Linked DNA regions of Drosophila melanogaster. The protein of the gene in region 2 interacts with the protein of the main gene of each other region in a pairwise test. Each region holds a gene or a part of one and is shown on either strand. Other genes may lie near its edges.

The links.
Region 1: the proteins of mmd (region 2) and CG4363 interact in a two-hybrid assay, tested with the Drosophila melanogaster proteins (one large-scale study listed by BioGRID).
Region 3: the proteins of mmd (region 2) and CG13926 interact in a two-hybrid assay, tested with the Drosophila melanogaster proteins (one large-scale study listed by BioGRID).
Region 4: the proteins of mmd (region 2) and Ubr1 interact in a two-hybrid assay, tested with the Drosophila melanogaster proteins (one large-scale study listed by BioGRID).

What each region holds. Positions count from the first base shown.
Region 1 is NT_033778.4:21,831,788-21,839,114, forward strand, and holds CG4363 (uncharacterized protein), read right to left. Parts: upstream 3,261-7,327; 5' UTR 3,243-3,260; coding exon 3,056-3,242; intron 2,987-3,055; coding exon 2,835-2,986; intron 2,773-2,834; coding exon 2,512-2,772; 3' UTR 2,443-2,511; downstream 1-2,442. Other genes in the region: CG34040 (uncharacterized protein), read right to left, coding at 804-1,307, 1,379-1,720; CG4377 (uncharacterized protein), read right to left, coding at 3,709-4,038, 4,103-4,257, 4,316-4,526; CG4372 (uncharacterized protein), read right to left, coding at 5,818-7,011.
Region 2 is NC_004354.4:15,968,581-15,977,564, reverse strand, and holds the start of mmd (mind-meld), read left to right. Parts: upstream 1-4,497; 5' UTR 4,498-5,360; intron 5,361-8,984. Other genes in the region: CG42766 (uncharacterized protein), read right to left, coding at 119-142, 249-410, 472-582; Or13a (odorant receptor 13a), read right to left, coding at 859-933, 1,005-1,193, 1,252-1,359, 1,421-1,520, 2,073-2,504, 2,788-3,140.
Region 3 is NT_037436.4:1,612,800-1,620,040, forward strand, and holds CG13926 (uncharacterized protein), read right to left. Parts: upstream 5,360-7,241; 5' UTR 5,304-5,359; coding exon 4,908-5,303; exon of another isoform or gene 4,823-4,907; coding exon 4,625-4,822; 3' UTR 4,549-4,624; downstream 1-4,548. Other genes in the region: CG33791 (uncharacterized protein), read left to right, coding at 3,719-4,502; CG12105 (uncharacterized protein), read right to left, coding at 1-2,776; ABCB7 (ATP binding cassette subfamily B member 7), read left to right, coding at 5,702-5,818; CG33230 (uncharacterized protein), read left to right, coding at 6,119-7,241.
Region 4 is NC_004354.4:16,963,766-16,972,782, forward strand, and holds the start of Ubr1 (Ubr1 ubiquitin ligase), read right to left. Parts: upstream 4,915-9,017; 5' UTR 4,745-4,914; intron 4,097-4,744; 5' UTR 3,908-4,096; coding exon 3,730-3,907; intron 1-3,729. UniProt on the Drosophila melanogaster protein: E3 ubiquitin-protein ligase which is a component of the N-end rule pathway. Recognizes and binds to proteins bearing specific N-terminal residues that are destabilizing according to the N-end rule, leading to their ubiquitination and subsequent degradation.

The DNA.
Region 1 (7,327 bases), on a different chromosome or scaffold from region 2:
CTTAAATATTCTTTCATATACTGCTAGTTTTGCGAAGATTCGTATCAGTTCAAAGCACCTAAATAACTATCTGCTTAAAGCTTCAAAAGTCGATGGTCAGTTCGATTATTCGATAGTTATTGTCAAATCATGTCGCTTATTTCACCGTTGTAAATCAAATAGTTTTGGGAAACCCCAGATATAGGTAAAGGCTATTTCTAAGAATTTAATCTAATAACGTTATTGCTTATTATTATTGCTCCCTATTGGACTTTAGGCATTCCATTTTATAATGTCACGAAGTCACCTTAAAGTGAGAAGTTACACACAAATAAATGTTCAAAATGATTCACACGTAAAAAAAGAATGAGAAACAGACTCGTAACTTATGAGTCATGAGTTAATTAAATTTATTAATTGATGATAGATTTGGCTATCGGAATAACCCAATTTGTTAGTTATCTCGTAAGCTTTTTATATTTCAACACCAAAACATAATCTCAGCCAGGTAAAAATAGAAAATAAATAAGTTACTTTAGATTTATAGTAGATCCTATTTAAAGATAACCCAATTCGAATCTGTGAAACGTTTGTGTAAGTAGGCTGACTTGTGGCTTAGTGGTATTTCGCCACATAATCGGGGCTTATCAACATTTAATCAATGACATAATATGTCATAAAAGTCTTAAGACATAAAACCCAAAAAGATTGTGTTTGATCGCAAAAAATAATTTATGGTCACGTCATAAAAATTACTTTAATAATGTCGCACATAGAGTAGAGAAGTCCGTGGGAATTATGGTTAAGCGCCGTCACTTTGCCCATTAAAGTGGCTTATAAAAGCACAAAGCCAATTGGGCAAAGATCAGCAATACGGAAGCGTGCAAACCGAATGCCGAATTGGGTTTATCGGTTGTGGTTGGAACCTCTTCGGTTGTCGAAGGTTCTGTGGTGGATTGTGTAGTTTCTGGTGAATTTGTTGTTGAACTTGTTGTTGAACTTTCTGGTGAACTTGATGATGATTCAGTTGTCATTGTTGAACTAGGCGTGGACTCCGTTGAAGAACTTGTAGATTCCGTCGGTTCCTGAGTGGTGGTTGGTGAATCATCTGCCCTTACAATTTGATCATTGCAGTGTGGTTGTTCCAAAGGATCGCACAAGTGGCAATTTGGATCAGCCAGGCATTTGACTTGATCTGAAAGAGTCAGGGAGCACCCCCTTTTCAAATCGTCTCCAACCAAACTGGCATAGCAAAAACTTCTGCCAGATCTAGCAATAGGACATTGTACAGCCGTTAGTAGCCCGGGAGATTCAGCACACTGTGCGTCCTGAAGAAGAAGAGTATAGAAAAAAAAATTAAGACTTTTTCTCCATTTTATAGTTACTAACTATTAGTTACCTCTGTATTGTTGCACTGAATACAGCTAGTCCTTTTGGCTGCGACGTTGTTGCATCTTTCGGTTACACATATCTCGCAATCGATTTCATTTCCTTTATCTTTATCCTCGCATTTTTCTCGCCAATCATCTTCGAGACTTTCCAGACATCCTTGGGCCTGAATTACGCCTGCCTTAAAAACACTAACGCAGGCATCCAACTTCTCTGAGCATTGTTCATCCGCATCATAGCTGCTCCTTTGGCAGTTTATATCCCGACAATAAATGCACTTTTCTGATGCCAAAACGTAGCTGCTGGTCAACACAAGTGCGACCAAGAGTTTAGAACAATTGAAGTTTGACATTGCGGAAGGAATATTTAGCATTGAAAGGCTCCCATTTGTTGGTCATCCCTTTATATAAATTCTGGTCTCTCAAGATGATGTTACTGATATTTTTTCCTAGATAGTTGACTGAAGTAATTAAGCTCGTTAAGTTGTTGTCCATCACTTCAAAAATTGCGTAAGCAATTCAGTTGTTTTTATGTGGCTCCTTCAAGTACGGGAATTCTTGTGGGGTAGTTTTAAAGTACATAGTTCCTTGGTCATAAGTAAACAAACAAGCTTACACTGGTAATGGAATTTTTTTTGCCATTAATCGGTTATTTTCCTAGATTAGACAACGAATTAGATCAAATTTCTTTCAGATAATTTGAAGTGAACCTTTTCAAGGTTGTTGTCATAGATTAACATCAGTGCTATCAATTAAGGTTTTGTGATTCATCATAGACTTGTCATCTTAATATATGTATACAAAAGTTATCATACCAATTTAACAAGCCAACTTATTTAAGACTTTCTTTCTAACAGATTTATTTGAAAACAAATGTATGCCAATTATTTTTGTTCATTAAATATAATCGCCCTAGTTTTATACTCTTTTGTTTGGCAAATATAACTGCATACATTAATTTGTTACGATTTATTATACTATTTAATATGAAATGCAGAATTTCCGACAATATATCTATTCTATCTATCCATTTCGCTTTTGAGAACAAAATAAAATCACTTTTAGTTCAATTTTTAGTTGTATATAATTTATAATCGCATTTTATTTATTTCTTGACCCATATACAAATATTTCATTATAAATATTATCTCAGGAATCGAATGAAGCGGTTCCCTAAATTTGAGCTCTCGACGATGTTGGCAGCATTGCAGTTCCTTATGTCGCCAGGTGAGCACAACAGGCAGTTGGCATCGTTCAGACAGCTCTGCTGATCGGTTTCGGTGGTGGAGCATCCACGCACAATGGATCCTCCCGAGGATTTCACATAGCAATACGAGTTTGGAGCCGTGGGGGCACTGCAACGGGCTGCTTCCAAAGCGGCGGCATTAGAAGCGCAATTGGAATCCTTGTGGGGAATTGAAATGTTAGAATTAAAATTGGTTTTCTATTTTAAAACTTTTTGCTTACCTTGCTGGAATCGCACTGAATGCACGCGTACTTCGCAGATCCCACATTGTTGCATTCTTTCGTGTTGCACTTGTGGCAAGAGCGATTGTCATTGCATTTGGAACGCAAGTCCTTCGGAATCTCGAGGGAGCAACCCTTGAACAAAACCTTGGCTGAAATATATAAAAACAGTGTTGTTTTTTTATTTGATACAAGAAATTATTTCCTCTCTTTGAACACACCTTCATCGTAGATGGTCACACAATAGTCCAGGGAATCCACACATGTCTGCGTTTTACTCAGTTGAACCCTTTGGCAATTAGCTCCTTCACAAGTGTGGCAACTGATTGCCGTGTTAGCGGCCACATGACCCACCATAACCACCAGCACCACAGCACTCAAAATCTTCGCCATTGTTTGGGCCTTCATTTTTTTGCTTCGACTGTCAGGCAATTGGCCATTGCGATCGGCTTTTATACCGCCGACCACTTCAAATGCCCCACTGAAGTGTCCTCGAGAGCGGTTGCTGTCAGTATGTGTGTTTGTGCGTGGAAATGGCCAAGCACTTGAACGGTTTCTATAAAGAACTGACAGCAGTCACATATATACAACTCCCGAATGGTATGGAGTTATCTCAGAAATATCAAATTAACTTTTTAGTGGATGTATAAATTTAGCAGCCATTGTATTATGCGGCCTTTTTGAAGTGACCTCTAAAAAAAAACTGTCTGTCAAAGAATTCCGTTGTGATTGAACTGTGGTAGTAATTCAGGGACCACCTGCTAGTTAATTGACGGAAAAAAATTGAACAATCCAAAAAGCCGATAAGATAGAAAAACAAAACATTCAGTAAGCAAGTGATTATTCGCTTTATTTACATATATTTATTTAAAATTTAATTCAGCAATTTAAGCGAGAGCAGGGCAAAGAAAGCCAACCCGTAGCTCAAGAGTTTTTTACTTTGCTCAGCTGAGGACTTGGGTCCCAATTCCAAATCGTAGTTGTTGCAGGCCACGGAGTCGCTGGAGTTTTCCGGCAGGCAGAGCGAGCATTTCGAGTCCTCCAAGCAGGCCTTCTGCTCCTTAACAGAAAGAGCACATCCTCTCTGGAGGCTGTCCTTCTGATCGCCGACTACCTTGACATAACAGTAGGAATTGGCGGAGGTGGGGAGGGCACATTGGGTGGCGGCCAAGGAGGCGGTGGCACCCTTGTTGCAATCAGCTGACTGGCCAGAAAATATAAGAAATATATGTATTACGTTTGCAACTTTGTCAAATTGGCTTACTTACATCAGAACCAATGCATTGAATGCATTTGAAATCCCTGCGTCCTACATTATTGCACAGCTGTCCACTGCACTTTTGACATTGATCGTCCTTGGCCGCACATTTCGCTTGACCAGCCAAAGAGATTTGAGAAAAGCAACCGCGCTCACTAACAGCAACTAAAACGGAAATTTTGTTGCATTTAAAAATGCAATATCCTTCGAAGCTTAGACTTACAATCCTCATAAATGGTGACGCAAACGTCCAGTCTATCAGAACAGCTAACGGTGGCGTTTTGACGAGTGGTTCTCGAACAATTTATGCCTTCACAGCTGTAACATTTTGGCGATTCAGCTGAATTGCGCACCTCCCTAGAAATTTCTCCTGAGATTTCCCGTGAAGCCAGGAATAAAGCCAGTAGTATAACAAATTTGCCCGATTGCAACATTTTTGAAGAGCTTCCAACACCGTTGAACGACCAAAACGAACTAAAACTAAGCTGCAGCTAATTTGAAAAAATCGAAAAATTCACAATTGTTTTGCGGCACTTGAGAAAATTCACATTAATCAGTCAGCAGACTGATAAAGATATTACAATGCAGTACTTGTTGTGCTAAGCAATTTCAAGATGTTTTCCTATAGATTAGTAGTAGTAGTATATCACCTCATATACGATTTGTTTGCTCGGCCATTCAAAAATCTTATCTGCCTTATGTCGGACAAATAAGTGAAATGTAAAATAAAGTGTTTAAATTTTATTGCATTGACTCACGCGGGGGATTCTATTCTTTTAATTAGCAATTATTTATTAGCATTAATTCTGATTTGTGTTTGTATTATTTTGCTTGCTTCTTATCGAAAACTTTTATGAATTCTTAAAAAAGTCTTCAAATGGCCCATCGCCGGTCAATTTCTTATTTATGCGACCTACGGTTATCTAGAACTTATCGGTTCGGATCGGTGTGAGTTATGACAGTAAATTTTTATGACACACAAGCTTATAATCTTAGTTGGCAAAAGAGATACGACCGACATTTCTGCCTTTAATTGAATGGTATCATTTGACTTTGACTTCCTCAGCTCAATTTTTGTTTATGGCCTAATAATTCTAGTAGTTATAATGAAGTTAAATCTAGCAATTAAACTTAATAATACTGATGCCTTAAATAGTCGAGTTTTTCCATACAACTTTAATGCTGAGGTCAAACTTTGTTGGCCAGGCAAATTAAAGCACAGCTGTACTTATTTGCATACACTTATAACAGATTTTCCCTTACAACCAACACGAGGGGATTACGTTACATAATCCAAAGAACAGAGAGGGCGGGAAAGCCCCGAAATGGAAAATGAAACGAAAATAATACAAACATAACAAAGAAATATGCAAAGCAGATGAATTGGGGATAAAAATGCGTGAGGGAAAATAAAAATGTAGCAAAACGAGAAAACTGAAAGCGTTAAGGAAAAATTGAGGGCTTACCGGGTCGAGTAAAAAGTTTTTAGCCATGGTAATAGGAAAACCCGAAAGATAGAAAGAAGAAAATGAGAATAGGTCAATATTTTCAGAAGTAAGAGAGTCATCCGAAAAGTAAATGGAAAAGAAAAATATTACAATTTGTGGGCAAATCATATCTTATAGCTAATGTCCTTTTAAGCAACTGCTTAGTAAGTAGAACTGTTTAAGGATATTGCGGTAAAGGTTGTACTGTAAGTATAGAAATTACTAAGTAGGTCTACCCTCATGGAACCTTATGTTTTTCGGGAATGGTGGGAAACAGTCCTTTGGGGCCACCATCTATGACTTCATTCTCCCGCTCCAAGCACTTGACCCGCTCCACCCGCGCCATGCTGAGGTATTCCTTGCCCCCACTGACCACAAAATGGAACTCGTCGAGTCCTGCACAGGCGGCGGCATAGATGCCACGTCGATTGACCACCACCACGGCTCCATTGAATTCCGTATTGTGCCTCAGCAGGCGTTGCACCACCAACTCGGCTGCCTTGTCTGGTTCCTTTCCCGCTCGCATTGCTTCGACGGCCAGGAAGGCGGGCAGGTGGCGCATCAGGACATCACCATCGCCACTGGCCACCGCACCGCCCACTTCATTATCCGCATAAATCCCAGCACCAGGCACCGCCGAATCACCCACTCGACCGGGAATCCGGAATTGGGCGCCACTCGATTGGCTGGCCACATGGAATTTACCCTCCGCATCCAGGGCCAAGAAGGCCAGCTGATCGTGTTGACCCTGTATGATGGCATATTCCTGGTGCATCGGATGCTGATGCATGTGCTCGGGTAGGGGTGAATATGGCCCACAGTTTTCCGCCGGCGAAGGATGTACATCTCGCCAGAAATTCGGCTGACAGCCGTTTGACCTCCACTTTTTCAAGACATTTCTCGTTCTCGCATCCGTGAGGTACTCCTCTTTGTAACCCAAAGATCTGGCAAATTTCGTTGCACTTTTCCCGACCAGTACGGAATGTTTTGTGTATTTCAGAACTGCATCGGCTACTAGAATGGCATTCCGAACTCCATTCATCCCGGCCACTGCACCGTACTCCAAGCTTTCCCCATCCATAATGGCAGCCTCCAGGGTGAGTGCTCCCTCCGTATCTGGAGAGGATCTTCCGGTCAGCAGGCGTCCACATCGCTGATTCTGGCAGGCCATGCATCCCTGAATCACCGCCTGACGAGTCCTTCGAGGTCCTTGTTGCAACACACTCCATGCCTGCAAATTGGCATCCGTATAGTTCCACGTACTTATCAAGAGTGATTGAATCTCTGTCTTCTTGGTGCCGAACAATTTGATCCTTCTCTCTCGCAATTTTCGATTCGTGAAGTATTTGAGGGATTTTTTCGGTACGCTGCCGATTGTTGTGAACAGAAGGAGGAGGATCAGCAGTCGAAGGCAACAGCTTTGCGCCAACATACTCCAAGCAGAACTCAATCATGACTGAATGCCTGAACACATGTTACCCTAAAAAACTGACTACTAGTCAGTGGAAGATATGACTCAAAGCACTTTCACTGTCTCAAAGGTCTTAACCATAACTTAACGCTAGCAGCTGAATATTATTAAGCCTGAAAACTTCTTAGATCTTAAAACTGTTGTTCGGAAAAAAAGGTGACAACCTGTACCATGGATATTTACACAAAAACAGACCTTTATTTCCACAGTTTAGGCTTTAATGTACCACACAAAAAATAAATATTTAAAAGATGCAGGATTCGGCTGAGGAGTACAT
Region 2 (8,984 bases):
CGTCCATCATTTAAACAAATAGTTGATCAGTCCCTCAAGGAGCCACGGCAGCCAAGTAATACAGCACATCGCAGTCCAAACAATCAGCGCGGGTCGCAGCCCTGTCCCGTTTTGTACGCTATTTTACATGGATTACAGAAAGCTTAGAATGGTCAAAAAAAAAAAAAAAAAAAAATATTTCAATGAGTATGTATAGAATTTTTTGGAACATATTAAATAAATTTTTATGTTTTAAGTGTCCCAATTACCACGGCTACCAAGGTGTAGATCACCTGTGCCAAAAATCTTAACTTTAAAAGGAAATTGTAGAATTGAAGGCGTCTCGCTTGGCGCTCAGTCGGATTCGTGTAATTTCTTGGCCGGCGCATTATCTTCATGGAAACTTCGGCGAAATCTATCAAATACACAATCTGCAAGTTTGGGATAGTGTATTGAGTCCATCACATGCTGCTCCATCCATTTCTCACTCACCTTGTCAAGGATATCGATAGGGAAGTGTGCTTCGCAACTGGATACGAATACCTTTATGTAGGTGCGCATAACGTAGTAGAGCAAACCACAGACCCACTCGACGGAAGGCATGGCGAAATGATGTAAGTTAGTACAAATGAATTTACAAAACTTATAAAAGATCTCGAAAAGATTGTATGAATATTTGTTCCGTACTGACTGAAAGGTACCGAATGAAAAACGAACCAGATTTAGGGCATTAAATCATGGCCAACTAGGAGCGCTGGCTGTGCAAGGAGAGGGATAACCTCTAGGAGCTCCAATCCCAGCTTCAAAATTTGTCAAAGTTTCGAATTTTGAAAATCAGCAGAAAGCAACATAACCTTAAACAGAGCTCCACGTTTTTATTTAATCTAGTTTCTTTTCGTCGTCGAAGTAAACTGACCGCAATAATGTAAAGTAACTTATCGAGGTACTTAGAATCTGAAAGAGATGAGTTTAATTGTGCAATTGATATATATATATATATATATATTTTTTTTTTGTAGACATACGGCCGTAAAACTCTGCAAGGACAACGTTGAGAACTTGAAAGCCGTAATCCTTACAGGCTGTTGACTGCAGAGGATCATAAACCAAATCTGGTTTCGGATTCGCTTGGTTGTTGGCGTGAACGATTGTATCTCAATGCGATCGGATCCTTCCCACTGGCATTCATACAGAATTTGCGCTGTTAAGGTAGACTGTTTATCGGAAATAGTTTATTAATATATTAAAAAAAAAAACAATCTACATTCTTGCCTGTTTTATCAATGCGTCGCCATTCTCGCAAAGAACGTATAATTGTGAAAGGGCCGAGGATATGTAAATTATGAACTTCACATAGTCTCCAATGAACATATTTTTTCCCTTATGAAGTTTAGAAAGAAAAGCTAGTCATTATATTAAAATATTTACTGCCAATGCTTACAGTAACTATTTGAAAGCCAACCATGCAAATAAGTACGGAGGAAATCATTAGATTGGCCAGTAGAATTGGGTTGAAAAAGTCCTCGAGGCGCTTAGCAAAACTATTGGCAAAATCAAAGTAACATGTAATGGAATCATTGTAATAGAGTCGTTGTAATAGAATCATTGTAATAGAATCGTTGTAATAGAATCGTTGTAATAAAATCATTGTAATAAAATCATTGTAATAAAATCGTTGTAATAGAATCATTGAAATGAATCATTGTAATAAAATCGTTGTAATAGAATCATTGTAATAGAATCGTTGTAATAGAATCATTGTAATGAATCATTGTAATAGAATCATTGTAATAAAATCGTTGTAAAAGAATCATTGAAATGAATCATTGTAATAAAATCGTTGTAATAGAATTATTGTAATAAAATCGTTGTAATAGAATTATTGTAATAGAATCATTGTAATAGAATCGTTGTAAAAGAATCATTGTAACAGTATCGTTGTAATAGAATCATTGTAATAGAATCATTGTAATAGTATCGTTGTGATAGAATATTTGTAATATAATCGTTGTAATAGAATCATTGTAATAGAATCATTGTAATAGGATCATTGTAATAGAATCATTGTAATTGAATATTGGCACGATACCAACCTGATAATATTGTTGTGTTTTTCCACAATACGTTTGAGTCGCTCCAGCTGAATGCTCTCGGCCAATTCCGCATTGGAACCCGCAAATAAACCTGCGATTCGTTGGTGTAGCAAATGAAATTGGCCACAAGTGTAGGTTATGAAGAAGCCAAGAATGGTGTCCTCTGCAAACAAGGTGGTGACCACACAGATTCCCGCGTAGGAGGTGAAGATGTAGGTCATCACATATCGGATCCAACTGCTCTGGGCATCGTACGGAAAGATCATCTTGTAGGGAAACGGCTTGTTCTGTGCATCGAAGGCGGGTCCAAAGAAGATCTCCACCAGCGGCAGGACACAATACATTATGATCAGGCACGCTAGCAAGGATGTCATTATGCTGAAGGTAACCATGCGTCTGCGACACTCGGCGGCAACATTGTTTTTGGAAGAACTGGAACCCATCATATATTTATATATGTAAATAAAGATTTTCTTACAAATACAGTTTGAAGATGGGTATAGTTACTCAAAAGTCTATATTATCTCAAAACCACTTTAAGTGTCCAAAAGCATGCTTAGAAAGCAAAGTTTGCTCTTTTGCACACAACAATGTAGCACACTTTTCTGCGCATTTACTCAAGTAAGATTGCAAACCTCTATAGTTTTCAATGCTCTGCAGTTTAATGCGATGATCATTTAACATCGCTTATAATAACCCTAATGAATCGACTCACTTAGGTATCCAAATTTCGTAGGAAAAGTTCTCAATAAGCTGGCGGAATTTCCTCTGATTGAGGCGAAGATGGATGAGTCGGACAAAGTTCAGGACACCCATAAAGGTGGTGCAACAATTTTCCGTGGTGATAATAATGTCCGAAAGGTTGTTCAGCAAAAAGGCCGTCTGATAGCTGATTGTTATGCCCACAGATGCAATGACGTACCACGCCCACACGATGTAGGCGGTGGCCAATAAGGATTGGCTCCTCCATGGCCTCGATGATTCGGTTAATGGCCAAGAACCATTCAGTTTCAGCCAAACGCACTGAATGGGAAAGCTAAGTGCTTTGTAGGGATACGAATAGAACATGACTATCTGATAAATGCCACAGCACTAGGTACATCTTAAGGCATTTCTTTCATTTATAGCTTACCAACTGCGCCCTAAAATTACCACTTTTTTAATCATTTACCCTAATTGCACAGTAAATATTTTAGAAAGCGTTTGCACACAAGGCATATACTTACCACCTCATTAAGTGCCGAATATGAAATTTTGATCAAACGCATTTTCCAAGGAGGTGTGTGCCTGTGAAATCCATTAAACTATACTACTTGTGTGTATTTTAATTTTGCTTTATTTTGAAGAACAAAGTGCGTTTTGCTCTCGAAAAATAAACAGGTAAACAGGTGCACATATTTCAATTTTGTTTTCAATTTAATATATTCAAATTAAAAAGCAAAACTAAAAGTATAAACATGCAACCTGCGCCTGAAATCCGTAACACTTTTAGATATATATATATTTTTTTTTCAATTTCTTATACATATTATTTCATTGTAATTTTCCATGATTTTCCATTTATGTATGTTGGCTAACAATGCGGTCTGTATTTATTTTTAGGCTTTCATTCGCCCAAACTTCATTTCGAAACCAGTTAATTTAAATCAGGTCACTGCTAGCTGGGCGTAAGAAGGATATAGCTTCATTCAATTAGACGACGGGGGCGTGGCCAATCTGTGGCGTGGAACAGTGTGGACCCAGTTCTCTGTCCATTGTTCTGGCCAAGATCTCGACGGCCAGATAGACAGGCAGCCAGACAGAGATACAGAGAGACAGACAGACACGGCTAGATGGAAACGTATGTAGAGGCGTAGGTGTATACTACACTTCCTTTTACAATTACGCACCTTTGCACGAATACAATATACCCTTTTGCTCCACATAACGGACATAAACAGACGTACCCGGATTGTAAGACTCGTTGGGGCCAAGGAGTGGATTTTTTTTTTACCGACTTTCGGCGAGAGAGCCAGCGGCTGAGTGCCGAACACCAACCAACATCCATCCGAGGACCAAAAGGATGTGGCCCACACAGCCCGAGAGAGCCAAGATGCTGAATTGTGACGTGACAATAGAAGCGGAGAGCGAGAGATGTGGCCACTCGGCTGGGCTTGGTTTGAGATATATTGGTATGGGATGGGATGGCCGGGATTGGGAATCTCCCAGTTGAGATTCCGGTGCTCTGCGACTGCGTCGTATTTGGCTGACTGAAGAATGGCTGGTCGACTGGGTTGGCTGCCTGGTTTGCCTCCGGTTGGAGGCAATCGTTTTTCGCCTGGCCAAAATCCTGCAGACGTGTTCGAGAGCTTTAGAACGTTGTTTGCAATTGCGGAAAGCGGTTAGCGAGGCACGAGACACGGCGATAGTTTTTAATAGAAGAAGCAGCAGCAGCAATAAAAAAATAAAATAAATTAATACAAAAAACACAAAAAACATACAAAAACCAAAAAAAAAAAAAAACAAACAAACAAACAAAACGAAATACGAAAGCAGCAGAAAAGAGTGCAGATGCAGGAAATAGCCGTATAGTTCGCAGCCAGCGGAGCAATAGTTTATTGAGGAATAATCCCCGAGTCGGCGCCCAAAAAGATCCAACAAATACCCCAGAAACACAACTGAACAACCAGCCCAGGCAAAAGTATATACATATATATATATATATATATATATATTAACAAAGAAATTCGTTTTCAAATCCCAACACACCGTGAACTTAGAATATATATATATACATACGCGTATATATATATGTATATATATATATATATGGAAAAAAGTAAAAGAAAAGAGGAAAAACGAAATGCCGAACGGGTGGGCAAAATGTGAAAACCCAACAAATAACTACTCAGAATCAAATGTTTGATATAGTAACGTAACGAAACGCAACGCAACGCAGCTCTAAAATCGGCTACTAAATCAGCACATTCAAATCAAATATGGAAAATACAAAAATAGAATAAATATATATATATGTCTATATATGTGCACATATATGCGTGTATATGTATATGCTGATGGCGTAAGGATGAAAAGATCATAAAATACATATTTTATGAAAATTTTTTGCATATTTTTTTTACTGTTTGGCCAAAATAACAAACTGAGTGTGTTCATAAAGCAGTACAATGTAAACTTAAAAGCAAACTTAAACGCAAAACGGATAACAAATAATTCATAACTACTCTCCAACTACTGTTTCAATGGATTCTGGTTTTGATTTTTTTCGAATTTCCCGAATTTCCATTGGTGAGTACCGCAATTACGTTTATGTATTTTATATCTATCAAAAATCGCTACACATCCCATGCATATATATATATATATATAGTATATTTCGGTATATGTACATGGCCTCAAGGATTCCAAACTCTGGCAGATGGAACTGAAATAGTTTGGCTAGCTGGATAGTTGGATTGCTTTATGGCCGTAATTATACGGGGGAGGGGAAAATGTATACTTGGTCCAAAACACACACCACATGCCCAACATACTTACTATTATTGCGAATATGGTCCAACTCCCGACTCTCGAGCGGAAATGAGGCGCGGCTGACTGCGCATGACCAATGAATAATAGCGATACAGAAATGCTTTTATCCCACACTTTGTATTCCAATGCATATCTGGATATCCTCTCTCCATCTCGACGTCTCACCGTCTCTCCATCTCGTCATCCCTTCTCTGTCCATGCCGCTCCATTGGCATGCGAAGGAATTTGGAATTTTTTTTTTTTTTTTTTTTTTGGCAAAAGGACTCTGGCAATTCGAAGTGTGTCAGGACATCATCGCCTTTTTCAGCGTCGCTTGCAATGGTGCGCTCCTCCACCAACGCCAACTGAAGACACATTTGTTCACAATTATTTGGGGGTCTGGGCATGCGTTGCCATTGACCCATCTAACCACCCGCAGTTGTGCACGGCAATTCAAATCTCAACGTGCCCCAGTGCTTTCGATTGTTTTTAAACAATTAAATCCACCGCATAATCCCATGCCAGCCAAACGAAACACGTAACCGGATTTGAGATGATGGCAAAGTGATTCCAGGATGATTCCCCCTGCTGAGTCCTTGAGTTTGTGAGTTCTCGTTTAATGGTTGGTTAACTCGTGAGAAATCTGCGCTGGCAGTAAAGTAAACAAGCAGCGGGCAATTTGTTTATCAATCAAAGAAATGGTGTCGGAATTCCGCATTCGCGAGTGTGACAACGCCCAAATGTTTGCTGATCCATAAAGGAGAAGAGCTCCGCGATTAGATCGCCCTACCTACCACCACGCATCCTTCGAAGCTCGAACTTCCCTATCGTTTGGTAGCACATTGACTCCAGATGGACTTATTGGGGGCACAAATCAAAACGCGGCAAAACAATGGGGCAAAGACACAGATTAGGTCAAATAACAATGCTGCTATACACACGAAGAAAAAGGAATGAACTTGTGAGGGAAACTAAAGATGAATGGTTTGAATACAATACAGTTTTCTTTGCATACATTTAACGGACTGAAAAAAATCTTTTAAAACTGGTTATGCTAGGGAAAACATTATTTTTTCATATCCTGTTAACAAACATTTGGTATTTGATTAGTTTCCGGAATCCTTGAATTTTTCTTCGAGTGGCAAACTTATGGCTCTGCACCAGATTAGAAGCCATGACCTACGATTTGATATAATCAATCAAGGCTTGACTTGTTGCCTGTTCAATAAATAGTCAGGATATTCAGAATTCACAACAGTTGAAATCATTTACAAAACGCGGCTTTGTATGAGTAAATCTTTTCTGCGTGTGTAAAACTACAAAATGCTGCCCAATGCTAGTGAGTCAGATACTGCCAAAAAAACTTGTCGGTATCATGGAGTGAGCCAACTTTTTGAGAAACATAATAATGAAAGTTTTGTCAAAACGAATAAATTGGGAAACACTATACGATGGAGCTTCAGCTTTCCGTGCTGTTGTTACTCCATTTGATCGGGAATAGTTTTAATCAAGTTTTAATTGGCAAAGTTGCACAATGAGTGCAATCATTAGTCAGCAGACAAAAAATTGTGTGGCTGGCAAGAGGAATAACTCATTTTATTGGCCCACAGATCCACATCCGCACACATGTCTGCAGTTCCCATCTTTGGAATGCCGTCTAGTCGGAGGCTGCGCATTCGGTCTTTGGAGAGCCAGCCAGCCAGCCAGTCAGCCAGCCAGCCGACGACCACGACTCTCGCGTCCTTAATTTTCATCCCTTTATTTATTTATTTTCCTGTCAGCTGCCGCTGTCTGGTGTGTCTGCCCAAGGTTTCTGTTTCGCATTCTGTTTCTGAATTTGAATCTGAATCTGAGACTGAATCTGAGACTGAATCTGAGACTGATTCTGAGTCCGTTTCGGCCGTGGACGCCCACGACAGCGAGGGAAATATGTGGCCATCCGGAGAATAGATTAACAGGATACACCAGTAGTTAGGGACCTCAGCTCATCTACTCATCTTCATCTTCATCGCCCCTTCATCATCATCATGGGGGCTCATCTCATCTTGGGGCTTTAAATTATGCGACTTGAGTTGTGTTTGTTGGTAAGATGTTGTCATATGTATGCGACCAGCCACTTGGCCTGGAGAAGTACTCATCAAGGTGCCCAAAAGTATGCCACAATGTATTTAAAATGTGCATTCTCAACTCTTCAAGTTCCTTATGCTTGGGAATTGCTTGGGTGGTGTGTTTCTGAAAAATGGTCCATATATTTGTAATATATCATCAGAGTTATTAAAGCACACGAAGAACTGTCTAAAAGTATGCTACAATTGTGCGCAATTATTATACTATACTATGTCTGTTGGTTTAAACTTAACTTATGAAGGTTTCTAAAACTTCTAAAAGTATAAATAGTTAAGTTAAAATATTTATATGTAAAGCATACCATTTTTTCTGCTACAAATATAAATTACCATGTTTATACAATACTTGCATATATTATTTATGCCATATTAGCTTAGCACTTTTGACCGGTTTTTAAACGAATGACATAAAATCATTTGCACTAATAATGTCATTGGCTGGTGAATAAACTTTGTTTGGATACAGCTTTCTATTGGTCGAAGTTGCTTGTTTATTACATTTTTAAAAGTATATAATTGGATTTAGCTGAAATTTCTTAGATAATTCAAACACTCTCGCTTGCCATACGCAAATTGTGATATGCATTCATCTTTTTAATGCAATTAAATGTTATGACAAAACTTTGAAAATAAGTTACTTCTCAGTTGTTGTTTTATAAATTGAAACCATTCTCGTTGTTATCCTTTTCGTTAGTCCTTTTACTCCTTGTAATTTTCCATGTGGGCCACTGTCGCCTCCTTTTGCGGCAATAAATTTACTCACTGCCTTTTCGCCGAAATGACCCAAATTTCAGGATGCCCTCCATATAAGGGAAAATTCAATAAATTATTGCTAAGCCTTTGGAAATTGTGCAGAACCTGTTGATTCTGCAGCCGCCGCAACTAAGCGCTTAATTAAATTTTAGTCGGAATTTTCACGTATATGTATACGCATTTGATATTTTGGAAACAGGCAAAGTCAAAAAAAAAAAAAAAAACTTATCATATATAATATTATTGCCAATAAGATACTATTTATATTACGTTTTATTGAAGTCGAGCACAATTTCAATATCCCTGGATTGCATAAGCTTATGTTTGAAACAAGTAATTTGAAACTGATTGCTTGCTGGGGCAAAAGAGAAATCACAGTAATTGCAGTAAAAGCAAACATTTAATTTGCACGAACGAACACTTAAACAAATTAGCTGACTACACTTAGAAAAACGTATGATACAAAACAAAAACATTACTCGAATATCATTTGAAGCTAAGTGTAAACTACATTTAAGAGAAA
Region 3 (7,241 bases), on a different chromosome or scaffold from region 2:
CATTACTTTTGTCAACTTCTGTAGTTCCTTTGGGTTCCGATTCCTTGGGAGTCGCTTCTCTTTTGGGAGAGAACCCCTTATGGGTTTCTTCCTTGGTAGTTTGCTCCTTGGGAGTAACATCTTTGACGGATTTTGACTTGAGTTCACTCTGCACCTTGGCCAGGAACTCTATTTTGGCCTGGGTTTTGCTTTTCTCGGGTTGCTTGACTTGTTCGCCTGTCTTCGGAAGTTCTCCATTCATTTTTGGTTCTTCACCTTTTACCTCTGAGATTTTAGTATCACTAGATTCATTAGAAGGCGATTTTGAAACATCCTCTCCAAGCTTCACCGCCAGTGGCTCAGAATATTCCTTACTTTCCATTGGCGGCTTGACATCCAAATAATCTTGGTCCTTTGGCAGCTTTCCATCTTGGTTTTCCAACTCTTTCGATTCTTGATTATCATTCTTTTCTTCTTTTTTACTGACTTCGATTACCTCTTTAAAATCCTTTTCACTAGTTTTTGTTTCTTTGCTTGCATTAAGTTTCTGCTTTCCATTTGTTTGAGCATCCCGTTCTGCTGAATCTTCCAAGAGCTCCCTAGCAAATGGTGTCTGTTCTCTTTGCACCTTAGTATCCTTGGAGGCATTTACCAGTTCCTCTCCAGCTTGCTCCTTTTCCTCCTCGGCCTCATCGAAGTAGCTGCGTCGCCGGACTTTCTTCACAAATCGAAAGGACACTGGAGCAGCTTGATCTCCAACTGGTGTCGACTGGGTCTGCTCCGCCGCAGATTCCGCCTCGCTCTCCGTGCTGTACTGCTTGAGCACTCCCTTCACCTCGCTGAGTGCACCGGAGATTCTTGCCTTGAGCTTGTTCAGCCGCTCGATCACATCCTCGGGCTTCTCCTCCACGGAGTCCTGCGAGCGGACGCGTCGCTGGCGCCGCAGACGTGTCCTTTCGGGTAGCACAGAATCCACATCGATGGAGGAGGTGCTGTCGCGGCTGATGGATGTGCGCTTTATATCGCCCAGCAACGGAGCATGCGTAGCGGGAGCACTAGGCTCCACATTGCGTATACTACGACTCGTGGCACCCAATCTAGTGACTGGCGACTCCGGACGCGGACTCCTGCTGGGCAGTGATGGACTGGGTGTCTTCAGCTCGTATTTCATCTCGCTGGGCTGCTGCTCTGTGGCGCTAGTATTGTTGTTGTCATCCGCCTGTTCCGTCGGCTGATCCAGTAGTTGCTCGGCGGGGTAAACCTCGACCACCGTATCTGTCTCCCGCTCCTCGCTGACTTTGCTCACGGTCATGTCCGCTCCGGCGGCCACCTCGCTCCAAAGGTTACCCGTCTCCGGATGGGCACAGATCACTTCGATGGCGTCGGTCAAAAGGTCGAGCAGCTCCCAGTCCCAATCCCAGTTCCTCTCGGTGAGGAAGGCGCGCACGGAGCTTTTCAGTAATTCTATATTTGGCCGACTTCGATTCGCGTTCGGATTTGGATTCGGATTCGGATTTGGGTTTCGCTCGCGGGTCAGTAGCCGACCGAGATCCACGTCCACTTGCTCTGGCGACGATTCGCGGGCGTCTGAGAGATCGCCGTACTGCTGGTGGTTGGTATTCCGATTCAGATTCTGATTTTGGTGCTGCTGCTGCTGCTGATGCTGTTGCCCATTCGCATCTATTGTCTGCTCCCTGGCCAAACATATTGACTGCTGCTCGCGATCTCTCATATTTGGCTCATTATGATCTTCGGCCTTCTCTAATTTGCTTTGCTCGCATATTTCGCGTTTATTTTTGGCCCCATCCATGGCGTCGTCGTTTTTGTGGTCGTGTCGCCGCTGGCCGAAGGCGTCATTAAGATTTTCCGCCTGTTGATGCTCGATTTCCCTTGCCACGTTCAAGTTTAATGCGAATGAGAGTGCTTCTGCCGCCGCCGTCTGCTCCTCGGCCTCGGGTTCATTATCAAACATCGGCGGCACCTTATGTACACCAGCTCCTCCTCCGCCTACATCTATTTCGTCTATTTTGTCTATTTCGGTGACTTTGTCGAGGCCCGGCTGCGTCATTGTTGTTGTGGCGGCGGTGGGTGGATGTGGATGTGGGTATTCGGGCTCATCTTCAGACATTGCTCGATAATTGGGAAAGCTAACAAATCGTTTTTTAATTATGGGAAATTCCTGGGACGCCTGCTCAGCGTGTGAGCTGGCCACCTGTCCGCGTCGGGTCATGGTGGTGCTCATTTCTGGGAAATGGCCGTCGGAATTCTTGCGGGGCAATTGCAGCAGTCTGGGAAAGTTCATCTGCCACGGGGCGTATACTTGATGTATGGGGAATCTTGCTGTGCACGGTGCGTATACATGATGTGGGCTGAATAGTTGAGTTTCATCTAAAATTGTGTGGTTCTCTGCTTCTTTCTGGTGCTTGAAGAAAAACAAGGGAAATCCTTGGTTGCTCCTTGATTTCAGATGCAAGGGAAACTTTCCTGTTTGCATTGTTTGGTAATATGTCTGGCAGACCTGCATGTTCCTGCTTCCACCCGCGTGATTCATGGGAAAGCTGCTCTGCCAAGCGATTCCTTGGCCAACCGGAAATTGCCCTGCCATTCCGAGCACTTCCGGCGCCGCCGCCTTTGACCAACAAAACACGGCTGACTCAGCTCCCTGATTTGCGATGCCATCAACAAGCCACTGCGAATTATGAATATTATTATTAGCTGCTGCCTGCGACATCAATGTCTGCTCCTCTGCTTCCCCCGATTCTGCCGGCCAATCCGCCTGCTGTGTCTTTGTCATCATCCTGCTGACCTATTGTCGTGGCCAACACGCGACCAAAGCGGGCTTATTCCTCCGATCACAATCGACTATGTATCACTCAACACGTTGCAAGCTAAACTGGCGCAATCCGTCGGCGGATGCACCGTGATCCGTCTATCTCAATTCGTTCCCAGTGGCTGCGCCTCGCTGGCAACCATCCGATCATTGATCAGTCTGCAATCTATGTAATTGCACATGAGTTGTGCGGCGTCAGGTGAGCATAAGGATCGAATTAACAATGCCCTGCAGATGGGTACTTATAGTGGTTGTTTTCAATTCACCAAAATAAAACTGTTCAAATCACTTGGTGCTATAAGATAAAAACAAGCCAGCTATTTGTTGTTCAAGAAAGTGTTTAGTATTTATAATTTATAATAATGTTCTCTCAGCTAACGTAAACATAATTTTATTATCTTCTCAGTGTTAAAATATGTGCTATTCGTTTATTAAAAAATTCCCTCCACTCAGCAAAATGTAGATAATACTAATCTGCTCGACTTATCTAAGCCAACTGAAATAACTGGACATGATTCCTATGTAGACTCATGGACCACATGGATGAATTAACTACAGGGCATATCAATGTTGATAGATCTTGTAAAACAATAGAAATCAAAGTTTGGTCAGGGGAGGTCGCGCGTGTTTCGGATGCTGGGCAGACCGAGGAGCGCTCTTGTATATGCACATCGGATAGGGTCTGCTATATAGCCGAAATATATATGTCAGCTTGCCAAATTGGTTTTTTGCGGGCCACAAAAAAAAAAAGAACGACAGGCAAAGAGACCGAATAAAAATCAGCTCGCGTCGCCCACCGACAATGCTATTGTTTAAATAGACCACAGAGCACGGCGCTATTTGGGTGACGTGGGGTAATACTGGGTGTCCATTCAGCAATTCTAATCCCATTCTGTTTCTTCCTCGCAGGCGCTGCGTGTCCTATCACGGACGACCGCCCAGCGCCTCGCCAGCGACGGGCAACAAGGTGCAGCACTACAACGAGTACAAGGCCCTGATCACAAGCATCTTCGGAGAGCTGACGCCGGAGAACAAGAAGCGAATCGAGGATCGGATCAAGAAGCAGCAGGCAAAGGCCAAGGCGGATGCGCAATCGAAACCCAGTACTAAGCCACCAGCCGCTCCACCAAAGGGCGGTTCGTCGCCGCCACCAGGTAAGGGCGAATCTGGAGGAAAAAAGAGATCCGATTCGTCTCCATCTGCGTCTATAGCTCCTACAGGTCCAGCACCCCGTAAGCCACTGATCAGTCTGCCAAGTAGACCTCCAAGGGGTGGAAAGCAGCGGTCCGGCTCGGCTCCAGCTCCTAATCTGGTTGATGAAGATTCAGCTGCTCGAAATAGGGAACCAGATGCTTCTGCATATGATGGCGCATCACCGTCAGCTTGGAAGAGATCGGGCTCTGCTCCAGCACCGAGTGTAGTTCCCAGGGCATCGGCCTCCCGCAGTCCGTCTAGAAAGTCACCTTCACCCTCTCACGACGGCATATCTCCTTCTACAAGACAAGAATCCTTAAGCAAAAAGAAATCAGGGTCGGCTCCAGCTCCGACGCCAACTTCTCGTGGACCATTCCGGACTGCGCCCTCCAATACAGAATTCATAAAGCGCAGACCTGCTAAAGATTACGGCAGTAGAAATGAAACCCAAAGCACTCCCGGGGAGTCGGAACTGGACCCAACAAAACCACAGCCCTAGTTTGAATCCTCCTTTGTAAGTCCACCAATAAAGATAGGTAATAGTTACAGAAAGAATATAAATATAAAACTTTACTTGTAATATCAACAACTTGTGGAGGCGACGCCTCCATTGTCTTTTGCTCAGTACTTCCAAAAGTTTGGATTCTGTTCCATGCGACGCTGGAAATTCGTATACCAATTTTGAACGACGGAGAAGGGCACAAAGGTCTCGCTCGAGATGGGCGGGATGTCTCTGGCTGCCACTCCGAAGCTGGAGGCGTAGTTGAAGAAGTTCTCCAGCATTCGCTGACCAAATTGCTTGTTGTCGTTGGCAGTGGACTGAAAATTGGAAATGGGGTTAGATTTGAATCGCAATTATTGCGCCAATCAAATCGGTTGGCAACTACTGATCTTCAGAACTTACCACGGCTGGCGTCTGTTGGGCCACCGTTAGCTCCGGTTCGAGGGAAACTCCAATCTGTGCGATGTGTGAGATCTCCTGGCTGCCGAAGACCATCCCGTGAGCCTGGGCCTCCAGCTCGTGACTCTTCTTCAGCTGGGCGATTTTGAAGATGGCGGAGGGCTTGGTGTTGTTTATGTGACCCAGATACTGCCATGTGGGTGCTGCGTTCGCGTCCGGCCAGCTGAAATATATCGCAGCGGAGGTGCCGACGGGCAGGGGTGATACGCCGGTGAGGAATACTACCAGGTAGTTGACGGATTCTATGTCGGGCACATTCACGAGCAACTTGGTGGCGTCCACGGCCACAAAATCCGATTGGGGCAGGCGTCCGGAGACTATCAGACCGAATAGCGACATTTTCGAGCGGTGGACTATTCCAGAATTCGATATGCCCGCTTTGTTGGGGGAGGAGATGTTATGGAGATGAGCAAAAAGGAACTACCTTATCGATGCTTTCTTTCCTAATGGTGTACAGCCCACTACGTTTCTAACAAAAAAATATATTGAAGTATATTGGAATTTGTTGCTTGCATATGTTCTGACAGTTGATGCATATTCCAAAATCCTAAAAAAAGATTTTTTTTTAAATTTTAAATGGAACTAGTTCAGGCGACTGCTACTTGGCTTGCCATTCACAGCGATACGGCAACTCCAAACAGCTGACGCTGCCATGCGAATGCTGATATCGTAGCAAAAACACAGGGACGGTGCGAAAGAAGAGGGATTTTATTTTGTTTTCGCCTGGCAATTGAGTAATGGCCGGACTCCTTCACCTGACCAAGCAGTGCAGCATCCACCTACCCGCCCACTTGGGACGCGCGAAATGCTACACACTCGCTAAGGGACCGGGAACACACGTGCAGGCAAGAGTGGTGAGTGCTCGGCCTCTAGACCCATTTCAAGGCCACCTGCCAGACTATCTAGACTAGATTACGGTTTCGTAATTACGCGTAAATACGCAATAAATTGGCGGTTTGATTGAGTGGGGACAGCCGGCGATCGGCGGGGAAAACAGTCTGCGTGTGCGTTGTTTTGGTCCTTCTCCACTTCCATCCGATCAATCTTGAATTAATGCTCCACGCTATGGCTTATTTCGTTGCAGCAAGCATAGAGTTAGACCAAAACAGCGCGCACGCACACAGACTTGGAGGATCGATCGGGTATTGGGGACAATGGGTCGCACGCAGCGTCGCCGGCATCAGAGGGCCAAGAAGTCTGACGAGAATTCGGGCTCCCTGCACGACCTCTACGTTCATCTACACTCCGTTGGCTGGCAGAACCACACTCACTTGTCGGCCCAATACTACGAACAGACAGGTCGAGGACTATGCTCTAAACAGAAGACCTTTTCTCCGGAGGATGAGCTCATTCGCCTGCCCATTGGCTGTCTCATAAGCATAGCGACTCTGGAATCTGATGGGCCATTCAAAAGTCTTTTCGACGAAGAGTTATTTGACAAGGACTCCAGAATTTCCTTTCAGGCACTGATAGCCTGTTATATTTTGTACCACAAGCACTTGCAGGAGTGTACGCTAGGGACTCACTCCTCTACTTACGCTGCATATTTGGACACCCTGCCCAGGTGCTACTCCACTCCGTATTTCTGCTCCATACCCGAGCTACAGTGTCTGCCAGAATCCCTGCTAGAGCGGACCGTGGCCCAGAACCGTCAGATAAGAGGTTACTTTGAAATTATTAAGAACATTGTACACAAATGCGATTGCTGTGGGAAGAGCTACGGCCAGGAGATTTGGACACTCGCAGACTTTAAGTGGGCCTACTTCAGCGTGAACACTAGGAGCGTCCACCTCAGTTCCCGCTTTCTGAAAAAGCAGAGCAACTACTTTCAGCCGCTTATCAGTGGCGACACCAACCTGGCATTGGCTCCGTTTCTGGATCTTTTTAACCACTCAGATCAAGTGGAAATCACAGCAGGGATTGAGGGTCCCGATTACGTTCTTACATTGAAATCTCTGCCATTTTCCGAGACCAAACCATATGATCAATTGTTCATCAGCTACGGTGCTTTGCCCAACTTTAAGCTATTGACGGAATATGGCTTTTGGCTAAGAGAAAATAAGCACGATTACTTTGAAGTCTCCCTACTGGACATTGAGCACATGATTAAGCAAAACAAGGAGCTATCAACGCAAACCTTTCACCGGAACATCTTTAAATTCATCAGGGAGCACAATCTGAACGATCAAATGTTCGTGCACATCGACGATGGATGCTCTCACAATCTAAGGGTTGTGCTGCACCTGATCTTCAAGCAGCAGGCCTACTTTCCCAACA
Region 4 (9,017 bases), 1.0 Mb from region 2:
TAATTGCATCAAGGACTATAAACAGGTTTCATAAAGTGCATGGACCTTGTCTTATTATCCTTATTTATCTAGTTGAGTAATTAAAGTCTAAATTTATGTTTGAAAACAAATATATATATTTAAAAATATTGTCCGATACTTTTAGAAAATTATAACTTTGCTGATTGGCTAAAAAAACTGTTTTTCAGTTGGCCCACAATCTTTTAGTTAAATGCGATTAAAGACGGCTCGAAGACATTAGAATTACTGGTTATAAATAAACATGCTGACTCATGGGTTAGCAAACTGTCATCTTCTGGCTTTATTGCTTTTCAATGCCGTGAGTAATGCAATAGCGATGGAGTATCGTTAAAATGATTAGAACAGGTCGGACCACACCGCATGTGGATAATGAACGTGATAATGATCATGATCGCGGCTATATTATTGGGCCTGGGCGACCGCAAAAGAGAACCACAGTCGCAGACAAGAGAAACCTTCGGGCTAAACGAGTTTTCGCAACCAGAGAAACCAAATAAAATCAAAATCAAATTCAAATTCAAATGCAAATACAAATACAAAAGCCAGCAATTTACAACAAATGCAGTTCAAGGTCGCCACAAACGATGTGAAAACTCTGCAGCGCAGAATCGAAAAAAAAAATACAATACTAAAAAGAGAGCGATAAGCTTACAATATAATCTATTATCAACGCATCTAACGTAGGGCTATCAGTGAAAAATGAAATATTTGTATGCATATGTACATACATATCTACTGCCTGCAATGCACATACAATAAAGACAAATTGAAAGTAACTAGCAGAGTACCTCCTGTACACTTTAAAGTTCCTTTAAATAATCTTCACGCTGCATTTTGCTATATCTCCAGGTAACATGGCTGCCTATATAAAAATGCATTTAAAACTGCGTGTGCGTCAGTTTACTGAGGCGTAATAGACTGGAACAAAGAAGGCGCCTGGAGCGGAAAATAAAAGAAAGAAATCGAAATCGAATCGAACTGAACTGAACTGAAATGCACTATACAGAAATGCCTCTATACTATGCCAGGAGGAAGAACGCCAGAGAAGAGGCCACCTCATCGGTTCCTGAATCACAGTGGATTATTCAGGAGCGGTACACTCAATTCTACAGGCACGATCACAAAAAGAGATCAAATGTGTGTAACAATATGATATAAAGATCACTTTTTAAACAATAATTACAAAAGTAAATACAATGTTTCCTAAAGTTTTTAGCAAAAGTACTCAATTAAACTCTCAACAAGACGTCATCAAAAGGTGACTGAATCGAAAATATATGCATAATTTAAACGATATTAAACTTGACTGCAAACATCATACGTAATTACAGCTTCCAATGAATTGTGCATATTTTTCGAACCAATAAATCTTGGTCATTCGCCCTTAGCATGGAAATTAATTATGGCACCCACTGTTGTACTGAAAATTTCTCGATGAAAAGAGGAAACAAAATTTAAAGGCTCAAATGCGGCAACACGATCGTTACAAAGAGCATTTCTGATTTCTGCAAGGGTAGGTGGTGGGCGATCGAGGGCATATAAATCTTGATAAATACGGACAACCACACCCACACCTTTTGTAAAATATTATATATATTTATGCCCAAAAATGTGTCAGCTGTTTGCTCCTTTTGCACAATGAAACGAGAGCGAAAGCGGAAAAAGAAACAAGACATCTGTGTGCGCCTAGAATGAGGTGGATATCCAACAAAGATAAGAAAGAAAGACTAAATTCGCAGAATGTGCAAGCGATTTGTACAAAAATTTTGTGTAATAATACATGAGTTTCCCAAGTTTGAATCATTTCTATTGAGACACACGACACGAGGCAAATGTCTTCGCACTTTGAGACCAGAATAGCCTCTATAAGGCGAACCAGCCAGAGATATGTATAAACGCTGAAAATCGACAAAAACTGGACACGTCAGGCGGTCGAGAAGACCTCCGCGGATGTGCACCTGGACCAGATAAACGCAGGTTGAATAAACTGCCTCCAAATACATATTTCTGTATATTTAATATTTAACTCTCTGGCTTATCAGTCCGGCAAGCAGCGAAGTCTGGCGATGCGATTCGTCTCCGTTCTCTGCGAAATCCGGCTGTCCACCTCATCTGTATCTGTGGCATTCGTCATTGTGCATCGGGATTCGAGTATAGTAGTCTACGTACAATTAGACAGCAGGCAAATATCAGCGGAACGGATATATGTATGTACAGGGGGTATGGTATGGTATGGTATATGCCCATGGAAACATAACAACATTGGTACCCATGCCCTCCATATGCTTAGCAGCTGATAAGGAACGATAAGAGCCATGAGATGGGGTAAAAACCCGATTAGCAAAAGCGGAAAGCAAACATTGTTTGAGTAATTGGCAAAAATATTCGCTATGACAAGAACGGATTACTCAATGAAGCCGGGAAATGAGGAGGGTTCTTGAAGGAGCTACACTGGAAATGATTTCCATTACCTACTATTTGTTTTACAAATTGGTCATAATATCAATATATTTTTGTATTGTATATTTCCATCCTTGGCATACAAACAAATAGTTTCTCGCGTGGAAAATTGCAACTCCTCTCGTTTTATTTCTCAATTTCCTATTAAATCAATATTTTATTAACAGAAAGTCGTCGACAAATTTGAGAGGCTTCAAGTGCTTTCCTAGGAATCTAGATTCTCCCAATTTGTTTGTTTCAATAGTCGCACATTTGCCCCTCCAGCTTCGGATAATGTTCACTTCTGGTGGAATTAGGTGCAAAACGAGTTTGTTTACTTAATTCATTTGTTGCCAGGCCGGGCTTGAGCCATTGTTGGATCAACTTGCAAACACTGGGCCAAAATGAGTGCAGGTAATTTAAAATTGCCACAAAAAATGTCATTCATTTTGAACTTGAATATGAAAATATTTGCTTATGCTAGTATTTAGAGATCTTCTATCTTCTCTGATAGGAATTGAAACATTCGATTGCCCATTTGAAAAAGAGCCTGAATTAATTTTTGTGTTAATTCAATCAGAAGATTTCTCACAGTGTACGATGAGAGTGCATAAAAGGCGAGACAGGTAGAAAACCGAGAAGGTGGCGATTTTCGAGCTGGCAAACTTGAAACTTGGCTGGCCAATTGAAAGGAAAACTTGGCGCAGCAAGGCACGGCGCCGAGGAAAAACAAATTCGCGGAAATGTGAAATAGACGAAACGTGAGAACAGCAACAAAGTCAACAAAAGCGTGCAATTGCTCAATGGCAATAAACAAAAGACGAAAGCAGAACAAAAATAGTACTAAAACACACGGCGAATAATGATAATTCAAGAGCGAGAGTTTTTAATGGGATTCGGCCAACTTTTGACGCCCCATCGATTTGGCATTGTGGTAGTTACCATTATTTGTTTACCATTATTTTTAATCGAAAAAGTGGTGTATCCTATTTGAAAACTTTTTTTTTGAAATTAACCTTTCTTGGAATTGAAAACAATCCGATTGCACTCTTTTCTATTGGATTGATCAATGCCTATATATGTATCATTAATATCTCTATACAGGGTCTGCCTGCGTAATTTTGAGTTCTGATGTATGGGGTCATACCAGAAACTAGCTGTTTCCCGAGCGCAATAAAACTAGTTATTAGATCTTTTAGCCCTTCCCGCAGATTCCTACGATCAAGGATTGTGACTATGACTATGCGATGACTGTGCATCTCGACTCACCTTTAACTGTAGCGCTAGTCTGGTAATCAAAATACTTGGGAGACTCGCGCTTTAAGAACTCGATGATATCGGAGCGGTCTAGTGTGCCCGCCTGGCGCTTGAGGCGCCACTCCTTGAGCGGCGAACTGCACTCGGCAGGGGGCGCCACAACGACGTCCTCCATGTCGTAGCGATCCATCGTTGCTCTCGCTTGCACTCGCACTGTCTCCTCTCTTTTTCTCTTTCCTGGTGAGGATGAGAAAAACAAAATAATTGCAGCGGGGCTGTGTATGTTCGTGTGTGCGATGGGGACGTCTCGCTCTCTATCTTTCTTCCTTTCTCTATCGTCCGTGTGTCCTTGCTATTCCTGCGACAGTAGTTGTTGTTGCTGATGTTGTTGTTGCATTGGTTGTCACATGTGTTTTTTGCGAAAAGCAAAAAAAACGGGATTAGGTTAGGATGCGGGACAACAAAAATGTTCGATTGCGCTCTCGCTCTCATGTCGTAGAAGAATTTTCGATTCTTGTTTTGGAGCACAGACACTTACTTGTTAATAAAGAAATTATATTTTTACAACAGTGTCGAAATTTACAAAAGCTGACAATTCAATCGAGGAAAAATTTGTGTACGAATGGCGAGGAAACACTTAGTGTGCAGCTGTTGCTTTGCACTTTTTCCTTTGTATCAGCCAGTTGTGATTTTTTTTATTTCATTTTTGACAGCAAGCAAAAGCAAAAAAAAAAGAGAGACGGAGCGCATGGCAAAACGCGAGAAACAGTAACTTCAAACACACGCACACACATGCACGGCCACGGGCACTATTTTTGGTTTTATTATATTTTTATAATAATCGTTTATTATCTACAATTTTCCTTTTGGTTGCCTTTACGTGCGCTTAGCACCTTAAAAAAATAGCTTCTCTTTTTCTTTATTTTTCACTTTCTGACAATCACACACACGAACACGCACACCAACTTAAATTCACTCTACTGCGTTTCGCTTTCGTTTTCTTATTTTCCCAAACTTTTGCACGTACCTATTTCTTTTTTTGTTTGGCTCGTGGTGTATTCACGAGCAATTTAGACCTGTGTTGTTAGTTAAATCTACTTATTTCAACTGGCACAACGAAGATTCGTCTGCCAATTTCGTAACCTAAACGCAAAAAAACAAGACTGTCATCGATATAAGCAGGCGTTTTATGTCTGCGTCTATCGGGCAATACGGTACGTCGATATCTGGTCGTGCTAACATCGATAGCATGCGAGCGGTAATAGTGAGTGCACACTACGAAGTTGCTCATCAATCGCTATCGATAAGAAATCCATTTTCCGCCATTCAGTTATGTATATGGTAATTGAAATTGTTTTCCATTTGTCAAAATAAAACTAAAGATGATTTCAAATTGTTTGCCTAATGTACACGCTGTATTTACGTTTAGACACTAATTGCAATAAGCAATAGTACATTTTAGGTAAATGTTGTAGTGAAAAAAACCAAATATATCTAAAAGGGATACAATCAATTAAAGACCCAGATTAATTTAAAAGCCCCGAATGCAAAAAACAACAAAATATCAAAACCAGATTTTTCTATTTAATCTTACATACACACAAAAATGTCTTTATTGTTTCGCTTTTTTGGTTTTTTAGTTGCTTTGGATCGCTTTGTTGGTATACTTGTGTCTGTTTGTTGGAAATACATAGTTTTGTTCGTTTTTTCGCTATATCTATTTGGATTCGGTTCGATTTCGGCTTTGAATACTTTATGCTGAGATGTTGTTTTGAAACCAAATCACTTCGTTCAATACTGTCCAGTTTTGGTCTTTTTTGTGTTAGATGGTGTGGTTTCTGTGCTCAACTAAATAATCAGGCATGCTCCGGTAGTCGTAATTTTGTTTCGATTTCGATTTGGGAAAAATCTTTCGATTTCGTTATTAGGTGCTCCGGTTTTGTAAATAGCATTATTTACAAACAACACTTTTGGCCATCCTCTAGATAAGTTATTGAATTCTTTGATATTGTATCTGCCTGTTTCGTTTCACCAACAATATGGAATTCTTCCCAAAAACACTTGTCGATGTACCTATAACTCCTTGCCAAATCGAAACTTTTTGTTGCCGAAGGCAAAATTCTGTTTGACCAATGTTGAGGTGTGGTCAGAAATAAAATTTTTATAAAATAACTAAGTGGCAAAATGATCTTGTGGTGATGTGAAATAAACATCAATAGACCACTGAGTAAACTATTATTTGCCCTTTTGAAAATAAGATCTGATTTGCTAAAAAAAAAAGGCATTTACTTTTCATTTCGGATAGACAAAAGTGTCCGTTTTACAAATCGAAAACTTTCTTACGATTTCGAAAACCGGAGCACAGATTTTTCAAAATAGTTAAATTTGTACGAATTTGATTACCGGAGCATGCCGGAATATGTGGGTTTTCCATCGTTTCCTTTGTACTTTAGGGAAATGAGTTGTATGTTGCAGTTTGTATTTGTTGTTAGCTTTGCGTTTACATTATTTGGTTCCACGTAGTTAATGGCTTTTTGTCGCTTTGGTAGCTTGGAATACATTAAATTCTGCCTTAGCACAATTACATATATAGTTTTCCTTTAGTTTATTATAGAATTGTTGTTTTAAACATTTATAAATATGCATTTATCGTTTAGTTAAGTTTAACATTCATATTTATTCTCGGGTCTGTTTTTGGGCATTCTCTTCATTTGGTTTAGTTAACTTGGGTTTCAAGTGGCTGCGACCCCCCATCGTGTACAACATTTAAAGCTTGACTATATTGTTTTATTTGGATTTCTTAGTTTTAGTTGGATTCCGGAAGTCGGGGGCCTCTCGTCGGTCCCACTACAATAAAATTTCAATTTCAATTTCGATTTCGCTTATTGACGCAACATTTAACACCTAGGCTTTTGACAAGTAAATTCCATTTCAAATATGGAATTCGCAACTTCCTCCTTCCGTTTAATGTTAATGGTAAAAAAATCTAAAAAAAATTGTTTCGCCACTTGTTTTTTTTTCTTGGTTTAGTTCTCGCTAAAGCACACCAATTCCCCCCACATATGTACATATATACATATGTATAAAACATATGTGTCCTGATCCAATGCGATCGATATACATAGGGGGCTTTGCAAGCCTGGGACTTGTCTTTAGTGTGGCACAATCTACGCTCCATCCACTCTCCATATATATATTTAGATTAAAAATTAGATCTGTTTTGGATGCTAGACAGCTGGAAATACCCTGTATCCACAGCATTGAACGTCGAATGAATATGAAGATTAAAGCTTTTGCACACCGAAAGTCGGGAGAGAAGAATCGCATTCGCGATCACGATCGGGATCGGGATGAGTATCAATGGAGTACAGGGTATTTTATAGTCGCCTACTCTCGACTATCACAAACATTCAATGGGGCATTAAGCTTTCAATTCTCCTCTCCAAATTTTTCATGACTACTCACAAACACTTGTTGGCTATTTAAAAGATATTTCCACCATCTTTCATTTGGACTGATTTGTGCAATTGTTTCAATAAGTTTCGAATTCGATTAGCGCGCTCAATTTCGCTTTCACATCTCATTTAAAATTTAATCGTTAATATATACAAAAAAAATAACGTTCAGTCAATTATAACTATATGTTTATACACATCGAAACGAACACGTAAAGAAACAACAATGAGGTCTAAACGAATTACATGCACCATGACACACACATATCGCGCTGCATTCGCCATGCGCCATTAGCAATTAGGTAAATGTAAATCCCCTACATTTGTATCCTTACGTCAAGGACATCGACATCTCGCCGGCATGTTACACCATCGTCACCCCTCTCGCTCCGTCAGTTTGGTTAATTATTTAATACACATATGTTAATAATCAGTCGCATAAATGAATCACCTTGCTTTGGTTTTGTTTCTAATTACTCTGTTTTCTCGATTCGCATTCACACTCGATTCTCGCCGGCGAAATCATATAAACCGAAATATACAGAAACATATATAGTCGAGTTGCCCGACTTTGGTGACTAGTTCTCCACATTTAATGGCTCGTGTCTGAATTAAGTTTTTCGAGTTTATTCTAGGGAAAAAACACGATCTACAAGTTCGAGCTTTTAAAAAAAAAACTATTTCATTAAATGTTCCACCTAAACTAAATAATATTATAAGCATAATAATAATGTTAATAATTTATATCTATACAAAATATTTTGATCCTAGCTCGTATTATAAAAATGACAAATCATTTCCCTAATAATAAACATTTTAAAATGAAATCAATGCCATTTGGATTACAATAAATTTCAAAAGTGCCAAAACATTTTCTCCCAAATCAAAATCTAGCCTACTTTGCCAATAAATTGTACCCATTAATGCCTTTGGAGAATCCACACTTTCACACTAAATGACCTTTCCTCGTTTTCACATTCGTTACAAATTTGCGGAACCTAAGTTTACACGTGAAAATTTATCAAAATTAAATTAATTAGGTTTAACTTTGAGAAGACCTGCAATTGGATACGTTATCCTCATTTTCACTTTCGTCAGCAATCAGCGGGCTTGAATTAAAGACTTTAGACTTCGGTATAAGTTAACAATTAATAAATCTAAATATATATATTTAATACTATATATATTTATATCGATTTTGTAGAATTCGTTAAACAAGTGATAGAGAAATTGCAGGCTTACAAAATAATAATAAATAATTAAAATACACCTGATGCACTTAAAGTTTGCTTCGTAGTAGGAAAAGCATATAAATGTAAGTAAGTATGTAAATATGTAACATAAGTAAGCATGCGAATGTACATATAACGTATAAGTGTTTGTAAGCGCTAAACAATGATTAACTGTGCTTATCGCAGCCAACTTCAAGTAGGAAATGTAAAAACAAATGCTTAAAAATGTTAATGTTAAGTAACGGATTGTGAATGTAAAGTTGAAAAAGACAACGGTTGGTTTTACAGAAAATTAATAAAGACATTGTGTAAAGCCTATTTTTACTGTCACAGCTTTCAAATGTTTTGTGTTAAAATTAAAATTGAATTAATTTAAAATGATCAACATTATGTATTTGACTTGTAAACATCATCAAGATGTAAAGACCTTCCGCAAACTGGTGTCGAAAGTGAAATGAGGAGAGATCTGCCCGCCCGGGAAACACACGCTTGACACACGAAGGAGGACACCCCTTGGGTGAATCCCCTAGTGCTGGAGGATGCGCGACTTCTGGGCGAGCACGGCCTCCGACTGGTGGAGTCGGCGCTTGCTGCTGTAGTTGCACAGCTTGCC